Linked DNA regions of Alligator mississippiensis. The protein of the gene in region 2 interacts with the protein of the main gene of each other region in a pairwise test. Links are inferred from orthologs where the notes say so. Each region holds a gene or a part of one and is shown on either strand. Other genes may lie near its edges.

Region 1 (9,815 bases), about 22 Mb from region 2:
AGGGGTTGGAGGCAGGATCAGGTTGGCTAGTGCCTGGTATGCCTTACATATGACTTGGGGCTGATCCCATTTCAGGTATGGGGGGGGGCCCTCAGCGCCCCCCCCCCCCCCCCCCCCCCCATGCCCAGCACACCACCCCATGCCCAGCACGCTCAGAGCTGTACATGGAGCTGATGTCACTATAGGCACGCAGGGGGTTACTCTGGCTGTGACCCCTCAGGGTACCCATGATGCCACACAGGCTCTGTCTCCCCAAACGGAGGCAGAATCAGGCCACCCTGTGCCTGGCATCCTTAGAGCTGTACATGGTATTCACTGCTGATCCTACTCCAGGCACATCAGGGGTCCCCCTCAGGGCCCCCCACCTCAGCTCTGTGACCCCTGTAACCAAGACACCACACAAGCTCTGCCCTCTGAAAGGAAGCAAGATCAGGCAAGCCTGTGGAGCTGATTTTACTACAACTGCACAGGAGGTACTCAGCACCTCCTACCACGGCTCTGTACCCCCCGCCCCCACCAGGGATGCTACACAGGCTCTGCCCCCCCCCCCCCCGCCCCCACAGGGAGGAAGGATCAGGCCATCCCATGCACAGTGCGCTCAGACCTTTATGTGCAACTTGGGGCTGATCCCATTCCAGGCACATGGGGAAAGTGGGGGGGAAATCCCCTCAGTGCCCCCCACCCCGCTCTGTGACCCCACCAGGTAACCGTGATGTCATGCTGGCTCCGCCCAGTGAAAGGAAGCAGGATCAGGCCACTCTGCGCCCCGTGTGCTCAGAGCTGTACATGGAGCTGATGTCACCACAGCTGCACAGGGGGTCACTCTGCACCGCACCTCCTACCCTGGCTCTGTGCTCCCACTGGGCACCCATGATGCCACATACAAACGGAGCAGGATGGGGGGCACAAACGGAGGCAGGATGAGGCAGGCCTGTGCCTGGCACACACAGACCCATACAGGCAGCTCATTGCTTATCCCACTCCAGACACATGGGGGTCCCCTCAAGGCCCTGTAGACCCCCCCACCAGGTAACCACAGTCAAACAGACTCTGCCCACTGCCAGGAGACAGGATTAAGCGCCCTGTGTTCAGTGCACTCAGAGCTGTAGGTGCAACTCAGGGCTGATCCCAGTCCAGGTACATGGGGGGGGGCATCTCTCAGGGTCCCCCACCCCAGTTCTGTGACCATCCTGGGTACCCACACTGCCAAGTAGGCTCTGCCCACTAGAAGGAAGCAGGATCAGGCCACCCTGTGCCTGGTGTGCTTGGAGCTGTACATGGAGCTGATCTCACTGCAGCCACACAGGGGGATCACTCAGCATGTCCTAGCCTGGCTGTGCCCCCACTGGGCACCCACAATGTCACACAGGCTCTGCCCCTCCAGATGGAGGCAGGATCAGGTTGTCCTGTGCCCAGCACACTTGGAGCTGTACGTGCGACTCGGGGTTGACCCCACTCCAGGCACAGTGGGGCGTTTCTCAGTAACCCCCTCCCTGGCTTTATGCCCCAACCCAGGTACCCATGATGCCACACAGGCTCTATCCACCAGAATGCAGGTAGGATCTGGCCATTCTGTGCCAAGCACACTTGGAGCCCTATGTGACTCATTCCAGATACATTGGGGGTCCCAGCTCTGTGCCCCACCCATGTATCCACGATACCACACAGGCTCTGCCCAGTGGTAGGAGGCAGGCTCACGCCTGCCCATGCCTAGCACACTTGGAGCTGTACGTGGCTGTGATCACACTGCAGCCACAAGTGCCCAGGGGGTCCAGAAATGCCCCCAGACCGACCTCTGAGACCCCCCCCAGTAAGCATAAAGCCATGCAGGGTCTGCCCCCTGGAAGAAGGCTAGCTCCAGCCACCCCGAGCCCGGTGCTGTACATGTTGCTCGTTGCGCCACATCCCTGAAAGGCCAGAGGGGCCCGTTTCCCAGCGAGTTGCTGGCCCTTTAAGGACCCCATAAGCCCTTCGGTGGTGCTCACTGGGCTCTGGAGGGGGATGGGGCTCCGTGCCTCAGTTTCCCCACCACCCGCTGGATGCTCATTATGCTCTGGATGCTGGTTATACTCTGTGCCTCAGTTTCCACGCCACCCACTCATGCTCCATGCCTCAGTTTCCCTGCCTACCGCTGAATGCTTGTTAAGGACATCGTCCTGATGAGGCTGGACAGCAGCCAATGTACCCACCCCAAGGTGCCAGGTATTGTACATCTGAGCCAGCATGCCTGCCCCCATGCGGGACTGGGCCATGCCATGCCAAGTGCTGTATGTACAGCCCCCAGAGGCTTCTGGTCAGATGCCACCCAACCCCCACCTGGGAGGGATCTGCTCCCAGGGGCGTGAGTGCACCCTCGCCAGAGCCTCAGGTGCCCCGCATAACACAACCGGGAAAACTGAGGCATGGAGCTGAGCACAGAGGAAGGAGCAGGGTCCCAGCCTTCCTCACCCCCTTGGGTCAAGACCAGACCTCCCCCTTGGCTGCCCTCCCCAGCTGCCAGGAGCCCAAAATGGGTCACAAAGCAGCTGGCGAAGGTGCCCTGGAAAAATCGGGACAAGCTGACAGCTGCCTCTACCATATGGGGGTGGGGGGTGTGAGCCCAGTGCTCCCCCCCCCCCCCCCACAAAGCAGGTCCCCTCCCAAGCCCCCACAGCCAGAGCCAGAACATCCCCCCTAAACCCTGGATCCCCCCAAAAAGCAGAGGCTGGTGCCCAGCTCCCCTCCCGAAGAGGGGCCCAAGAGTCTGGACAAGCATGGGGAGGGAGAGGGCAGGGACTCAGACTTTCCGGGTAGTGAGAAATGTAGACAGGGCCGTAGGGAGGCACAGACCCAAGTGTTTGGGGGGGGGGGGGGGCCGGGAGGCAGATGAGAGGGAGCCAGCATTTTGGGGGGGGGGGGGGGAGAGAAGATGGATGATAGGGACCCAGGTGTCTGGGGCAGGGGGGGGAGAACAGGATCTCAAGCATGGTGGGGGGCAGATGAGAGGGACCCAGGCATGGACGGGGAATAGGAGCATGGACCCAGGTGCTGGGGGGGGAGGATAGAGGATAGAGACCCAGACATGGGGGGGGGGAGGAGCAGTAGTAGGGGAACATGAAAACAGGCATTTGGGAGGGGGGAGCCATGGACCCAGGTGTCTGAAGGACGCAGGCCTGCGGGGCAGTACAGAGAGAACATGTGTGGGGGGTGGGGAGGCATGGACATGACAGGGGCCCAGGGGTCTGGGAGGAGACAGATAACAAGATCTCAAGGGTGGGGGGACACACAACAGAGGATGGGACCCAGGCATCCGGGGCAGTGGGGGGGGCAGGTGACCGGGACAGGGACCCGGTGGGGGAAGGAACAAATGAAGGGACCCGAGTGTCCGGGGAGGGGGGTTACGTGGGACAGCCAAACCCCCAAAGGAGAGGAGATGAGAAAAGACACCCCCGCAGACACTTGGGGTCACATAAGGTCATATCACCAGGGGGGCGGGGAGAAGAGCTGCCCCACCCGGGCTGGTCCTGAGGGCTGGCAGGGCGGAGGGGCCGAGGAGCCGCGGGGCGGAGGGCGGGAGGCAGGCGCGCGTGTCCGGGGCAGGGGACCCAGGCTCTCAAGTACGGCGGGGCGGGGCGGGGCGGGCACGGGACCCAGGCGCCGGGGAGGGGCGGGCCGAGGCAGGACCCAGGCGTCCCGGCAAACTCGGAGGAGGGACCCAGGCGTCCGGGGCGGGCCGGGGGTGGGGGAGGGGCGGGGGACCCGGGAGTCCGGACTCCCAGGGGGGGGACGGGCCCCAGGCGGCTGAGAGGCGGGGCTCACCTGCGGCAGCGGCCGGGGGGGGGCGCGGGCCGGGCCCGGCGGCGGCTCCCGGGGATTTCCCAGTAATGCCACAAAAAATGGCGGCCACAACAAACCGCCGCCACCGCCGCCCGAATGCGCACGCGCGTGCACCGCCCCGGCTTCTCTGCGCACGCGCGGGCACTGCCACCGGCTCGTTGCGCATGCGCGCGTACCGCCCCGACCCTCCCCTTGCGCATGCGCAACGATCGGCTGGGCAGGGCGGACCACGTGACTCAGGCGGCGCATGCGCTACGCACAGTGGGGGAGGGACATGTCAGTCATAGGATGCGCATGCGCGGCGCCGAGCTGGATGGGGGAATATGACGAACAAGCTGCGCACGAGTTGTGCCCGGCTAAAGGGAGGGCGGTCACGCTCTGCTCATGCGCAGCTGCTGGCTAGGGAGGGGTGACACGTGATGCGGATGCTGTGCATGGGCCGGCTACTAGAGGCGCCCGCCACCCTCCCTCCTGCGCATGCATAGGCCACAAGACGCCCCATCGGACGGGGTACCGGTGCACACGCATCCTCTGCGCATGAGCTGAGACGGAGTCTCCTCTTAAAGCGTTCCTGCGCATCAGGGCCGGCAGTACGCTGGGATGACGTCACAAACGGGGTCCACCTGATGTCTTTCACGTGACCGCAGGAGGGAGGCTGGTCTACGCGCCCCTTTCCCTCCCAGCCAGGAAGAGCCCACCGCCCAAAGGGATGGGGCTTCAAATAGTCACTCCCCCTTGAGGATTTCCACCCCCCCAAGCCCCGCAGGTGTTCCCCCCCACGCCCCCCAAGCAGCCAGGCAGCCTCCCCCCGCCAAAAAACCCCCCCTCCCACTTCCCTCCTGGGGCCCCCCCTCCTCCAGCCCAAGGAAAGCAGGACCTTCCTAAATGTGCTCTCCCCTCCCAACCCCTGCTCCAGGAAAACCTACCACATCAAAAAACTACCCCCCCACAACATTCACCATCCCCTCCAGGGCCCCAACAGCCCCCCCAGCACCTCTGAGAAATCAGACCTCCCCCTCAACCAATGACCCCCCCCACCAGAGATAACTAAGACCCCCAGCACAGACCCTCCCCTGCACTGTCTCCCCCCCACCCCACAAAAAACAGGTCCCCAACCTAACCCCCCCTCAAATATCAAGGGCAACAAGGGGGAGCAGGGACCCAGATATCCCAGGCAGGGGGAACAGGCACCCAGGGCGGGGGAGGACGACAACACCGACCCAGGGACAGGGACCCAGGTGTACAGGGAAGTAGGCAGGGGGGGCATCCAAGACCCAATATCCCTTCCTTCCCCCAAAGAGCTGCCCTCCCCCCAGTCCCTCAACCCTTGAAAAGGGAAAGTCACCCTGTTCTCTCCTCCTGAAACCAGACAGATGGGGGGGTGGAGGACCCCTATATCACCCCCCCCCCCAAAACAACCCCTGCCCCTAGCAGAGGGCAGGAGGCTGCAACCAGAGGCCCCCTGCCAGCTGCACCGATTTCTGCTGCTGATTTCCCATATTTTAATAAAAATACATCTGGAAATGTCAAAAAAAAATAAAAATTGGGGAAGGGGGGACCCAAACCACCCTGGGGCTGGGCCCCCCCCGAACTCCTGGGTTCCTTGGATAGCGCCTCGGTGGCGGGGCAGCGAGGAGGGTGGGGTCCATGGAGGTGCTACTTCTTCGCCTTGGGGGGAGGCCTGGAAGGGAGGGAGATGGGGGCAGGTGAGACCCCTGAGATGGGGGATTCTTCCCAGGCAATCCCCCCTCTACCGCTGCACACAGGGGATCCCCACCTGAGACCTCCCCCACAGATTCCCTTCCCCTGGCACTGGGAAGTTCCTCCACTTCAGACCCCAGTTCTCCACCCCCGTCCCTGGAATGTGGGCCAGGACCCAGTGACCCCCCCGCCCCCCCCCAGCCCCTTTGCCATACCGGTAGATGCCCACCACCACAGCGTGGTCACGCTCGTAGGGCTCCAGTGTGAGCTGCTCTTGTGGTTTCATGTTCTCCTGCTGCATCTTCTTCACCTCGGCTGCAAACACGGCCTCGGGCGCCGCCGTTGAGTCAATGCAGTTGGCCTGTGACACCCCCAAGGTCAGAGTCAGCCCCCTGGCCCTGCCGGGCCAAAGCCCACTGCCCAACCACACGCACCAAGCTCTGGTGCGTCCCCCTCCTGAGTCTCCCCAACCCCTACCCTCTAGGCCAAAAGGCTTCCCCATTTCTCCACAGTGGGAGAAAGAACCGAGTCACCCTGGTGCCTAGCTGGGTCTTAATGGCAGCAGAAGCCAACCCAGGAGTCTGATTCCCATGGAGGGGAAATGAGTGGGCTGCAGGTGGGGGGTGGGTCTGTGTCTGGGGGAGAAGGCATGCTCATTACCTTGATGGAGATAACAAAGTGGCCGCCGTTCTTCAGGAAGTTGTGCGCGTTGAGGGCGACAATACGGGACTGGTCAGGCTGCGCCACATCGGCAAAGATCACATCCACCATGCCTGGAGGGGGGGCATGGTTGTGAGTCATGACCCAGAGATCAGGGGACGCTGTGATCCCCCAGCAAATCAACTACACCCCCCCCCAACTCCACCTGTCTTGTGATATCAGCACTGGGAAAGGAAACCCAGTTGTCAGGGGAGAGGCAGGTCCCTGAACAGCACGGGTAGGAAGACCCTGTGCACAGACGAGCCTCAGTAACAGCAGGAAAAACCCAGGAATTTGGAGCCCCCAGAGGAGCCCTGACAGGCCGACCCCAAGCCTGGCCAGGCCTCAACAGCGACTGCAGAGAATCCAGGCATCCAGGGGGGTCTTAGGAGCCCCGACTGGCAGATGCCATGCCCGACTGAACTTTAGCAGCAGGAGAGAATCCAGGAGTCTGGGGGCTCCCAGGGAGCCCCAATACAAAGACCCCGTGCCTGGTCAGGCTTCAGCAGTGGCTGCAGAGAACGCAAGTGTCCAGGGGGAGGTGGGGGAAGGGGGTCTCAAGGATCCCCAGTACAAAGACCCGAAGACCAGCTAGACTTTCACTACAGCAACAGAGGACTCTGGAGTCTGGGGGCTCCCAGGACACCCCTCTGCCCCGGGGAAAGCCAATGGCAGGGCCCCCCTGAGTGCAGCCGGACCCCAGGGGAGAACGACTGGCAGGGGGAGGTAGGAGGAGTCAAGGGGGGGAGGGGACCTAGGGGGGACTCACCAATCAGCATGCGGTATTTGTGGGGGTGCCGGGCATCCTCTATGACGGGGATGATGTTGGTGCGTTTCTTGGCCACGTTGATGAGGTCACGGCCGGAGCGGTGGGAGAACTCCACAGCGTAGACCAGGCCTTCCTGGGGGGGCGCATGGGGTTAAGCTGGAGGGGGGGGTAATCCCTTTTGCCCCCTCGCCTCCCCCCCCCCCCCCATCCAGGGTAGGGGGTCCCAGTACTTACGGGGCCCACAATGTCCGAGACATGGGAGACGGTGGTGCCTGAGGCAGCGCCCAGGTACAGCACACGGACGCCCGGCTTGATGTGGATCTGGTCGATGCCCCCCAGGATGGCGGCTGCCAGCTTGGAGCGGAAGGGGTTCCAGGCCCGGTACTCCACCTTGGCCTCGCCATCCTGCCCAGCGGTGGGAGAGGGAACAAATCAGGGCTGGGGGGGAGGGAGTCTGCTCAAACCTTTCCCCAACCCCTGGGGCCTTCTGAGGGCCCTTTCACCCCAGCTTGGACTCCTGGGTACCAAGATGCCTCCTGGATCGGCCCCTGGAAGTGGTGTGCCCAGTGCCCTCTGGGACCCAGTAGCCTAGCCTTTCTGCCCCCCACATAACCACTGGGGGCCCCCCTCCCAGAACCAGCCCCCTCGACACCACCATTCAAACCTCCCCCTACCCCAATGCCCCCATCCTGATCCCCATCCCCACCACATCCCTCTTGACACTCCCATCCAGACACCTCCACCCGCCTTTGATCCCCTTCCCCCCCAGGCTCTGCGTACCTCCACCGCAATCCTCTTCTCCCCATACACTGACTCGCCCGGCACCAGGTTCTTGGTCACGAGTGCATCTTCCTTGCCCCGGCAAATGAAGACCCCTAGAAGGGATTACGAATGGGGAGGGGGTCAGAGCCAGAATAGCACCCCCCCATGGTCCCACCCACCCCAGGCTCCAACCCAAGCCCCGCCAAGGTGTCCCTACCCCCCAGCGCCAGCCCCTGCCCCAGACTCCAGTACCTTCGTGCCTGTGGGGCTCCACTGTCACCTTCTTGCCCCCTCTGAAGCCCCCCCGGCCCCCACCCCGCCCCCCACCACGGCCGCCCCGGCCAGGCCCTCCTCTTCCTCGGCCGCCAACACCTCCTCGGCCAAAACTGCCACCTGGGAAAGAAAAGGGGGAGAAGGATGTGGTCCAGTGTGGGCAGGACCCTGCAGCAAGTAGGGGAGTGTGGACGGGGGAGTCTTTTGCGATAGTAAGGATAGTAAATGGGGTCCCAGCCTTTTGGGACAGGAAGTGGAGGGGCAGGGGGAGCCGTTTGGGACAGGAAGTGTGGGGTGGGGCCTGGCTAAGATGAAAACGAGAGGGGGCAGCAGAGTCCCACAGCAGGGCAACCCCTGAGCCTGGCCCTCTGCCCCAAAGCTTGATGGGACAGCTGACCAGATTCTCCCAGCACGAACCAGGAGTGGATGGGGGAGAATGTAACTCACCTCTGCCTCCCCGGAAGCCACCGCGTCCCCCTCCACGGTCCCCGAACCCGCCGCGTCCCCCTCCACGGTCCCCGAACCCGCCGCGTCCCCCTCCACGGTCCCCGAACCCGCCGCGTCCCCCACGGGGGCTGAAACCTGTGGGTGGAAAGGAGGGGGGGAGGTCAGACATGCCCCCCTCCCCCCCACCAAGTCCATCCCTCACGCAAGCCCCCCTCCCCAATGCTCCCCCCTCAACTCCTAGGTCCCCCCAATGTCACCTGCCCCACATGCCCCCAGCCCCTTTGACTTCCCAGACATATAAGGACCCCCCCAGTACCCCACCACCTCCAAGCCCCATCAACTATCCTTACTGGGGGGGAGGGGCTCAGCTGGGGGGTGTTATCCCCCCACACACCCTCAGTCTGCTGCCCACCCCAACCTGATCCAAGCCCCCCCCCCGGAACCCCGGAGTCCTGCCCCCAGTGAATAGGGGGCTCCGAGCTTGGGGGGGCTGCCCAGCTACAGTCCCCCCCCGCAAGGCTGAGAAGGCAGGCGTCCCGGGATCGCGTGGGGGGGCTCCCCCCCCGGCAGCAGCTGCAAGGACCCGCCCCCCCCGCCCCGCGCTCACCGGGCCTCATGCTCCCACGTGCGCTCCCCGGGGCCGGACCACGCTGGATTCGGTGCTGGCTGGCGCGGGGCGCGATGCGCATGCGCGGGCGCCCGGAGCGCCCACACCGGAAGTTGGCTTCGCGGCCCGCGGTGACGTCAGCGGAAAGACCAGAGGACGTGCTTGCGGGGCGGGGGAGGGGGGGCGATTTTTGTGGCGTCACATTTGTCTCTCTCTCTCCCTGTGACGTCAAGTAATTTGTCTTTGGACCGCTCTGGGGTGTGACGTGGTGCTAGACTGTGAGGTTAGCCTTCCCCGTGACGTCACAGGATGAAAGTTTTTCTCAACTTTAGATCTGTGCTGTCTGATGTCAGCTCTCTGGGGGAGGTCAGGTGTCTCCTGTGATGTCACAGGGTGAAAGGTGGCTGAGGGAAGGCAGTGTCATGCAAGGACGTCAGATCCGTGAGGTCAGCTCTCTGGGATGTCACATGATAGCTGATGTTTCTTGTGATGTCAGCTCTCTCTGTGATGTCATAGGACAAAAGTTCTGTCAGAAGAGGCAGCTTTCTCTGCAGTGTCCTGTGACATCACTTCTCTGGTGTCAGCTCTCTGGGATGTCCCACGATGTCAGGTGTCTCTTGTGATGTCACCTCTCCTTGTGATGTCATAGGATGAAAGAAAGGTCTCTTGGGGAAGGCCATTTTCTCCGCGGTGTCAGGTGGCGTCAGATCTGTTATGTCCTATGCCATCAGCTGTTGGGTA
Region 2 (9,889 bases):
CATGGTCAGCAGCCAGACCCGGCCCCCCATTCCTACCTGCCACGGGGGGCACAAAGCAGTGCCCCTGCCCCCCTGAGCCAGGCAATCCCCAACCCTTGGCATCTCCAAGAGGGAAGAGCCTGGGTGGGCAGGCGCAGCACCATACCTGGGGGGCCGGGGGCCCGCAGGGAGTGGATGGGGGGGCTGGCGCAGAGCGGGCGTAATGAGGAGAAGGTCAAGGTGGTTCCTGCCCCTTGGAAGCCCCCAGTGCCACCCTGCGGTACTGCCCTGGAAGTGGGATCTAGACGATGGTCACCCAGCACCAGGCCAGGCACAGGGGCAGAGCAGGGGGGCACGGGCAGGCAGGAGGGGGGATAGGCAGCCAGCAGGGCATGGAGCTCGTCCAGTGGGGTGGCGTCATCCACCCCCTCCACTGCTTTCTGCAGGAACCGCTGGATATGCTGCAAGAGGGTGGGAACGGGAGTCAGACATGGGGGTGGGGGGCAAGGTCACCCCACCCCAGCATAGACCTTTTCCTCCAGCTCCCCATACACCCACCCCAGCCAGCCACCCCCCAGCTGCTACAAGGGGGCAGCCCTCCCCCACTGTCCCCTGTGCTGACGCACAGAACTGGTTTGCCCTGGGAGGGTGTACCTGCTCCTTGCTGATGCTGTGGGGGGTGCCCACCTGGGCTGGTGCTCGGCTGTGGGAGCCGCCCAGGTCGCCCTGGCCGTCTTCGTCCTCGTCCTCGAAGAGCCGCCGCACAGCAACCTTCTCCTGCAGGGAGGCGCTGTCAGGGTGTGGGGCCAGTAGCCACCACCTGCCCCCATCTGGGAAGCAGGGGACCTAGGGGGTGCCCCAGGATGCTGCAGGTGACACCTCCCAGCCCTGGTCAGGCCCACCCCGACCCCCACCAGGCACTCACCCAGGGCTGGGCTGTCTCACGGGGGTCGCTGCCTCCCACGTCAGGGCTGCAGGGCTGCCCAGCTCCACACCTGCCTGGGGTCTGTGGAGGGGGTCCCGTCAGCTGAAACCCCTAGTCCTGCTCCATCTCCCACCCCCCCCACAGCTGAGCCTGGGAGAGCTCAGACCATGCCCCCAGAGCAGAAGCAGCATCAGACAGAGGGTCAAAGCCCCCCACCCACAAAATGGGGACAGGGCACCCCCATCCTCAGAACCCTCCAGTCAGGAGCCCCCCCCAGATGTGCACCCACCTGTTCCACGTGTAGCTGGTGCCTGTCCCCCATCTCCCTGGCACAGGCGGGGTTGGGCTGGGGAGAGAGCATGGTGAGACGTGGGGAGCATGGAGCCTCTGGCCCCTGCTTGGCCTGTGGAGAGGACCCAGGCATCTGTGGGGTCTTCCCCCATCCCATTTTGAGAAGGCCCCGGGGGCATCCTTCCCACCCAGGGCAGCAAGCAAGAAGCCATGCAGACCCTCCCCTCCCCGGTCCACCCACCCAGCCCGAGCTCCTGCTCCCACCCAGCTGGACGCACCGGGGACTGGGGCTGCGTCACTGGCGTGTGGCTGAACGGGGAGGAGTGGACGTCGGATGTGTGGGGTACCCGGGGGAGACCTGAGGGAGAAGAAGCGTAAGAGCAGGACGCCATGGGGGCGAGAGGCATTGAGCCCACACCCAGCCTAGGCCCCGCCATCTCTACCTTCCTGGCCCATGGTGGAGAGGCAGGACAACCGAGCAGAGTGACCCCTTGTGGGGATGCCCTCGTGGGTGCCAAGCAGAGAGGCCGTGCTGCCCTGGGGGGGGAAGAAGGCAGCATCAGCTCCTGGCCTTGAGAAGGGGTGGGAGCTGGCACTGCCTCCCGGCCTTGCAGCTGTGCGGGGGGCCTGGACAGCCCCCTCCCCCAGAACAGCAAGCAAACAGCCATGCAGACACCCCCCCCACCCTGATCCTCCTAACACACAAGCCCCTGCCGCCACCTGCCATGCGCACCGTGGGCAGGGGCGTCATCGCGGGCACTTGGCCAGACGGAGAGGCATGGGTGCCAGGTGCGTCTGCACACACTGTGGACTGGAGTTTCCTCGCCAGCACCCGGCCGAAGGGAGAGGGGTGAGCGCCAGGTGTTGCCTTCTTCACCGGCACCCGGCCAAAGGGGGAGGGGGCTGCCCATGCCTCCAGACCTGGGGGAGAAGGAGCGTGAGGGCAGGTGTCCAGGTGCTGAGCCCACCCGGCCCCGGGCAGGGTCCTGCCAGCCCTACCTTCCTGTCCTGTGGCAGAGAGGCAGGACCCACGAGCAGAGTCACGCCGTGGGGGGACGCTCCCACGGGTGCTCAGCGACAAGGCCCTGCTGCCCTGGGGGGAGAAGAGATGTCAGCCCCGTCTGCAAGAAGGGACCTCCCACCCCCTTGAGGATGCAGTTGCCTGCAGCCACCGCCTACGCTGGGGGCCCAGCCCAGCCGCCCACCAGAATCCCCCGGGCCGATGCCTCTGCCCCTCCAAGCAGCAAACTGGGTTGGGGGACGACCCCAGTAGCCTGCGTGTGCCGGGGAGTGGAGCAGGAGGCTGCACGGAGGAGGCCTGTCCCTCCTGTCCCATCCCCTCTCCACCCCGAGGACCCAAGGACCTTGCATCTCAGCCCAGAGCAGGAAGGGCGTGCAGGCCTGTTTGCACACACACGGACAGGCCTTCAGGAAGGGGAAACCGAGGCAGGACAGAGAAACCAGGAACAGAATCTCATTTCCAGCTTCTAAAGGCACCCCCCACCCGCTCAAACCACTAGACCACACTGTCCTCCCCCAGCCTCTAGGATCCCAGGCACCTCCCTACAGCCACCAAGCTTCACCCCAGACGCCATGACCCCGTGCCCGCGGGGCAGCATGGGCTCAGGGGACTCTGGCAGGGACTTACCTTTGTGTTGCCCTGGGCCAGGAGGGAGTTGCTCCTGCTGCCTCTCAGGGGGATGCGACGTGCCAGGCTGGGCTTCCCGCCCGGGCCCAGGACAGGGCTGCACAGCCTCACGTTGGAGAGGATGCCGGCCAGCGCCGCCGGGTCAGCCACGAACTCCACCGCACTGGCATCTGCCGGAGGGAGCACAAGGGAGGGCTCAGGCCCACCGCCCCTGCCAGGCCTGGAGCTGGCATTGCTGGCACGCAGCGGGGAAGCAAGAGCAACGACCCTACGTGTGGGTCCTGGGGTGGCTCCGGGCAGGCGCAGCTCCATGCACGGAGCAGGGGACTGGGGGCAGCCCCAGAAACACGACATCAACCCCCCCGCCCGACCTGCCCACACTGGGGCCGACGGCCCCACACCCTGCTTAGCCTGGGTGGCGGCACCCGGGGTGCCAGGGTAGCATCCTGCCCCGATACCTTTGCTGGCGGCGCTGCTCTCGGGCACCTTCTTCTGCCCCCCCGCCCCCAGCTGGATCTCCTCCAGGGGGGCCCGGGGCCGGCTCCTCCACCAGCCCGCGGGGCCGGGGCTGGGCTGCGTCCTCGGGGCCTTGCCCTGCGGGGCAGACACGGTCACGCGGGGACAGGCGCTGCCCCGCGTCTCGGCTCCCGGGCCGGGGGGCTGCTCCCGGGCACTCACCTGGCCGCCGGGCCCGGGGCTGGCGCTGGGGCCCGGGCCGTTCTCGCGGCCCCGCGGGGAGCGGGGGTCTCTCCGCGCCGCCAGGGCTCCGGGACTCGCGGCTGCAGGGACAGACCCGGTGAGCCCCACTGCGCGGTCGCGAGCACCCGCGGGAGGAAGCGGAGGCGGCTGCAGCTCCGGGTCCCGGCCGGCTCCACGCGCGACCGGGACCCACGCACGCACCGGGGACACCCCCGCCACATGGAGGCCCCGCCCCTGGAGAACCCCTCCCACGGGCGACGCACCTGCCCGCGTGAATTCCGCCCCAGCCGCGCGCCCGCTGATTGGGCAGCGCCCGCCGGTTCATAAAACAGCAACCGGCTCTCATTGGCCCGCGCGGGGGCGGGGACGGGCGCAGAGCGAGCCAATAGGGAGCGAAGAACGGGGCGAAGGGGGGGGATTCGTGGGTTTCCCTCCGGGGGAGGGGTGATCTCGCGAGATTTCACTTAGCGCATGGAGGGCGGGAACACCTGGCGTGTCAGTGACGTCATTGCGATCTAGCCCCGACCCCGGGGGGAGAAGGAAGAGACTGGGGGCGCGCTCCTTGGGTCCGAGTCGTTCCGTGCCTCAGTTTACCCAGCTATAAAATGGGTCCCTTTCTTCCAGGGCAGGGACAGAGGCAGAAATCCAACGGGCCGGGGGAGCGGGGTGGGCCTCAGTTTACCCGGCTATAAAATAAGTTCTCTTCCTTCGGGGGAACAAGAGAGGCAGAAATCCAATGGGCGGGGGGGGCTCAGTTTACTCGGCTATAAAGTAGGTCCGCTCCTTCCAGGGGAAAGAGACAGGCAGAAATCCAGCGGTGGAGGGAAGGAGGGGGCTCATGGGGACAGCTAACTAATTCTGGCAAAGGCGGGGTTGAACCGGCAGACCCCCCAGCCCGACACAACGGCAGGCACTGGGCTGCCCCCTACCGCCCTCGCGGGTGGGATCCCGTCTCCCCCCCGCCCCGTTCCAGGAGCTGTACAAGCCCCATCCTGCCCAGCCCAGGTCACCTCCCCCAGACAGAAACAAAGACCCCAGGCCTGCCCAGACCCCCCAGGGCTGGGTGAGACCCCCCGGAGTCCTCAGCACCCCCCCCCCCCCGCTGCCAGGGCACCCTCCAGTCACATGGCCCAGTCTGTTGCACTTGGCCCCACTGGCCCAGAGCACAGAGGGGAGGGCGGTCATTAAGTAAACCGTAATTAAACTATAATTAAACTGTAAGTTGGAATGGCAGGTTGCTTCCACGCCCCGGCTCACAGGATGCCACAACCACCATGGGCTGCAGCCCCAGTGTCCCCAGGACTGTGGTAACACTGGAGTCACCGCCTTGCCTCCCCCCCAGCCCCGGTGCCACAAGGGGGACACAGCAGAGCAGAGCTCCTCACTAGGCTCTTTATTGGCTGGACAAGCGGATACACAGCGGGGGTCCGTCGCTGTTCAGGCAGGTCGGGGAAGACCCAGGAGCACCACAGCAACTCCTGCAGCAGGTGTGGGGGGGGTCCCCCAGGGCTGGAGGGGAAGGGGTGCAGCTGGCCGAGTGGCCCCAGTCACATCCCCCTGGTTTGGTCCAGAGCAGACCGAGGCAGAGGGAGGGGATGCTGAGGCAGAGGCACCGAGTGTAACAGAGGGGGAGCAGAGCACAGAACAGGGGGAGCTGCAGAGAAAAGAGCCAGGGTCAGGGAATGGCCCAGACTCGTGCCAGATGGATGCCACCACCCCGAGCCCTCTGGCCTAGGTGAACCCTGGGCCTGGGGCACAGCTTTGCAGCTGGGCCTGGCTGCAGGAGGCAGAGATGGGTGCTGGGGCAAGTCCATGCTGGAAGCAGGGAGACGGGCCATAGTATAAAAATGGGGCAGCTTTGGTATCAGCCCTTCGGGCCGGGTGGGACCCTGGCTCTGGGCAGGAAGCACTCGCTATAGGCACCACACTTGAACAGCAGCAGCGCCGGCACCCGCCTCCGTGGGGGGCCCAGGCAGCGCCAGGCCCAGGACACAGCCCTGCAGGCGCCAGCTGGTCCTGGATCCTGGTGTCAGCCTCCACCAGTGCCAGGCTCTGCCCCCCTCCCCGTGCCAGTGGTGTTGGTGAGGCAGGTCCTGATGCTTCAGAAGAAGGTGGAGGCCCCCTGGAGGAGGCAGGGGAAGGGGAAGCTGGGTGGGGGCAGGGCAGGGCAGGACTCCTAGGTCCCTCCCTGCCAGCAGCCCCTACCCAGGGGGGTTATTGCTCTGCTCTCCCGTCCCCGAGCACCATGGGCCGGTGGAAGTTGGGTGTGCGGGGGTGCCGGGGCTCAGAGGTATCAGTAGTCGTGTAAGGCCGGTGCGGCGTGGGGGAGTGGGGGGCGGGCTGCAGTGGGGGGCTGCGCGGAGCCTGGTGCTGGGGTCACTTCTCTGACTCCGCTCTCTGCTCCTTCTGCGACTCCGTCACCACCTGCCAAGGAGCAAGGGGTCAGACCCGGTGTCCCTCTGTGCCAGGCTGGGGCCTGCCCATGTGGCAGCTTGAGGGGGAAGCAACGCCCCCAGGAGAGCTGGGATGGAGCCCAGGCATCCAGCGGACCCTGCTCTAGCCATTAGGTCATGCGTCCCCAGGCCTGAGTGAAACCCAGGAGTCCTGGCTCCTGCCAGGGCCAGGAGAGAACGCAGGTGTCCCTTCTCCCACCCTGTACCTGCCCCCAAGTCCAGCCAATGTTGGGCTGGGCCCAGTCCCAGGTGGAGGCTGCGCTGGGCAGTGGGGGGGCATTCACCTCTCCATCCCGGGTCTCAATCGTTTTGATCAGAACCATTTTTCTGGTGTGTGTCTCCACCACTGGCACCGGCTCTGGCTCTGGCACTGGTGGGCAGAGGGGACCATCAGGGAGGTCTCCAAGTCCTTCCTCTCCCTTTGCCCTCCAGGCCTCAGGCATGCAAGGTCCTGGGTGCACAGGGGGCAGAGATGCCCGGGGACAAGGCACACAAGACTGTGCCCTCCCCCCGTCCCTCCCACAGCACTGAGGGCATGGACTCACCTGAGCTTTTCATGGTGAAGGAGGGCATCAGCTGCATGGGCACAGTGATCCTGGGGGACAGACAGGGTGGTGAGCATGTGCCCGGGCCTTGCCCCACTGCCCACCCTGGTGCAGCGCCTACCTGCTCTCCTCGCCCTCCAGCAGCTTGCGGTAGGTGGCGATCTCGATGTCCAGCGCCATCTTGACGTTGAGCAGGTCCTGGTACTCACGCAGGTGCCGCGCCATCTCCTCCTTCATGTGCTGGATCTCCTGCTCCAGCCTCCTCACCGTGTCCTGGTAGCTGCTGATCTCCGCCCCACACTGCTCCTCAAGCTCCCGCATCTGCCGCAGCAGCGCTTCGTTCTGGGGGGTGCAAGAGGTGGGGGGAGGTGAGCTCACAGTCCCCGAGGCCCAGGATGACTGGCTTCAGACTGAGCCCCCCCCCCCGGCATGCTGCACAAGGCAGGTGGCAGGGGGTGCTGTCCTAGCGCCCGGGCACCCTGCTGTGGGGTGCAATGCACCCCAGGGACTCACGGTTCCTTTGAGGCCGTCCACCTCGCAGGTCAGGCTCTGGATCTGCCTCCGGGACTCGTTCATCTCCTGCTTGGCCATGCGCAGTGCCTCGTGGTTCCGGTTGGCTGCGTCTGACAGGTCAGCGAACTGAGGGGTGGGGATGGCACCATCAGGGCAGGGGTCAGGAGCTGTGTCAGGGCCTTGTACCCGCTACCCTAGCACAGGCCTCGGCCTGGGGCAGCTTCCAGGGTGCTGACCTTGGACTTGTACCACTCCTCGGCCTCCTGCAGGTTCTTCACTGCGATGCTCTCGTACTGGGTGCGGATCTCCCGCAGTGCAGCCGTCAGGTCCGGCTTGACCTGCTCCATCTCCACTTGCACTTGCTGGCTCTGGGCACTCTCCTGCATGTCACGCAGCTCCTGCCCGTGCCCACCACAAGCGCCAGGACAGAGCAGAGCATCAGGCAGACCCCCGGGAACGCTGCACCACCGGCCCCCTCCCCTAAAGAGGCTGCTCAGCCTGCCTCCCCCACCCTCTTGCGGCCCGCGGGCACCTGCAGTTCTGTGCATTAGCACCAGGTGGCGCAAAGGCATCTCGGCTGCAAAGTGTGCAGGGGGGATTCCCTGCAGACCACCCGGGCCAGGTCACAGCTTGCTCAACTCCTGGGGTCCCCAGCGTGCCCCCCCCAAGTCAGCACCCCCTAGACTTGCCCCTCCATCTCCAGAGTCAGTGCCCCATAGACCTGCCACCCTCCTCCCGATTCCCAGGTCCGCACTCCCAGGGCTACCCCGCCCTCCAGGCCAGCACCCCTGCCTGCCTCCCCCATTCCCAGAGTCAGCACCTCCCTGGCCTGTCCTCCCCATCCCCAGATCAGCACCCCCCCCCCATCCTCAGGTCAGCACACCTCACCTGCCCCCCCATCCCCAGATCCGCACCCCCGGGCCTGCCCCCATCCTTAAGTCCTCACCCCCCACCTGCCCCCCCATCCCCAGGTCCGCACCCCCCACCTCCTCATGCAGCTTCTTCAGGAACTCGATCTCATCCATCAGTGACTCGATCCTGCGCTCCAGCTCCAGGCGCGACAGCGTGGCGTCATCCACGTCCTGCGTGGAGGGGGGGGGGGTTTCAGAGCAGCCCGGGCTGCAGATCACCTTCCCCCCCCAGCTCCATTGGGCTGCTCCGGGGCAGCAGGACACGAGTGTGCTCACGCGTGTCCTTGCGCCCTCAGCTGGGCGGGGGGGGGGGGGGGGGTCTGGGGCGTGTGTGGCCGGCGGGGACGAGCCGGGACTCGGCGGAGCCGCTGGGCCAGATATGTGCACACGCGTGTCCGAGATCGCGCGTGGGACCTGGCTTCCCCCGCCCCACCCCATGGACCCCCTCTTAGCCCTGCACCTTCCGGAACAGCACCAGGTTGTTCTCCGCCTCCTCCCGCTTGTGGGTCTCGTTCTCCAGCCTGCGAGGAGGGGAGCGGAGGGGTCAGACCGGAGATGCGGGCAGCCCCTGCCCTGGGGACCCCCCGGGCCTCGCCCGTTCCCTCCCCGCCTCCCACGTGCCCCATTGCCCGCCCCCCCCTCCCTCCGGGCTCAGTGGGGCAGAAAGGCGGGGCAGCAGGGGAAAGCACCCCCACCCCCTTTGGATACAGGGGGGCCTCAAAGGTGCCCAAGGCAGGAGGAATCGGGCGGCCCCGCCCGGCAGCCCCCGGGCATGGAGGGGAGGGGGGACACACAAGCCCCGGCTCCTGCCACACGCCCCTCCCTGCCCCCCACCGCTGCAGTGACCCGCCCCTGCGGCTGCGGGATGGAGATGCAGCCCCCACCCAGCCGGCTCTGCCCGGGCCTCAGGTCCCGGGGGGACGGGTCCCAGCCTGATGCCCCAGGCCCCTAAAGGCAGGGTCCAGCCCCGGCCCCACCCTGTGCCCATCCCCGGGCTTCTGGGCTCCGCTGAGCCCCCCTGCCCCGCACCAGCCCAGCAGGACGGGAGGGGAGGGGGGAGGCTGCGTCTCTTCCCTGCGGGGATGAGGCTGCATGGAGCCCAGAGAGGCCGCTGCAGCGTCTGCGCCGCCCGCCTCGCCCCTGCCGCAGCCCCCGCTCCTCCCCGCGCCCTGCCGCACCCGGCAGCCTGCCCGGCCCGGCCCGGCCCGGCCCGGCCCGGCCCCGGAGCCCCCAACACCCCGCAGCTCTGCTGGAGCCTCCACCCCGGCCCCGCAGACCCGCAGGTCTGCTTAAGCACGCAGCCCCCAGCATCCCCGCAGCGCCCCGCACCCCTGCTTGAGCCCCCAGGCCCGCAGCCCTCAGCATCCCCGCAGCGCTGCTTGAGCCGCAACCCCCAGCAACCCCGCAGTGTCCCGCAGCTCTGCTTGAGCCGCAGCCCCCAGCATCCCCGCAGTGTCCCGCAGCTCTGCTTGAGCCCCCAGCCCCGCAGCCCCCAGAATCTGCGCAGCTCTGCTTGAGCCCCCAACCCCGGCCCCGCAGCCCTCAGCATCTCCGCAGCGCCCCGCACCTCTGCTTGAACCCGCAGCCCCGGCCGCACATCATCCTCCCCGGCTCCCCCGGGCCCCGGCATCCCCGCAGCGCCCCGCACCACTCTGCTGGAGCCCCCAGCCCCCTCGCACCGCTGCTTGAGCGCGCCCAGGTCCTCGGCCAGGTTGTCGCGCTCCAGCTGCAGGCGGTCGCGGTCCTGGCCCAGCAGGTCGAGCTGGCGCCGCAGCTCCCGCAGCTCGTCGTGCACCAGGTCGGCGGCGCGGGCGGGAGGGCGGGCGCGGGCGCGGTTCAGCTCGGCCGCTAACGCCGCGTTGTGCTGCTCCAGGCTCCGCACCCACTCGATGAAGGTGGCGAAGCGGTCGTTGAGCTCCTGCAGC

What was found.
Region 1: the proteins of TROAP (region 2) and DYRK1B interact in binary tests that used the Homo sapiens proteins (3 or more experiments, as listed by UniProt). The link is inferred for Alligator mississippiensis from reciprocal best matches to the Homo sapiens genes TROAP and DYRK1B.

What each region holds. Positions count from the first base shown.
Region 1 is NC_081838.1:29,158,334-29,168,148, forward strand, and holds the start of DYRK1B (dual specificity tyrosine-phosphorylation-regulated kinase 1B), read right to left. Parts: upstream 4,514-9,815; 5' UTR 3,983-4,513; coding exon 3,799-3,982; intron 1-3,798. Other genes in the region: FBL (rRNA 2'-O-methyltransferase fibrillarin), read right to left, coding at 5,473-5,497, 5,733-5,878, 6,178-6,290, 6,986-7,118, 7,220-7,390, 7,766-7,860, 8,000-8,140, 8,468-8,602 and 1 more.
Region 2 is NC_081838.1:6,716,179-6,726,067, reverse strand, and holds the start of TROAP (tastin), read right to left. Parts: upstream 4,052-9,889; coding exon 4,047-4,051; intron 3,841-4,046; coding exon 3,522-3,840; intron 3,438-3,521; coding exon 3,302-3,437; intron 3,014-3,301; coding exon 2,844-3,013; intron 2,289-2,843; coding exon 2,195-2,288; intron 2,117-2,194; coding exon 1,929-2,116; intron 1,733-1,928; coding exon 1,639-1,732; intron 1,554-1,638; coding exon 1,474-1,553; intron 1,251-1,473; coding exon 1,194-1,250; intron 986-1,193; coding exon 905-985; intron 757-904; coding exon 634-756; intron 441-633; coding exon 146-440; intron 1-145. Other genes in the region: PRPH (peripherin), read right to left, coding at 5,836-5,966, 6,541-6,590, 6,662-6,882, 7,054-7,179, 7,290-7,451, 8,040-8,135, 8,425-8,485, 9,644-9,889. UniProt on the Homo sapiens protein: Could be involved with bystin and trophinin in a cell adhesion molecule complex that mediates an initial attachment of the blastocyst to uterine epithelial cells at the time of the embryo implantation.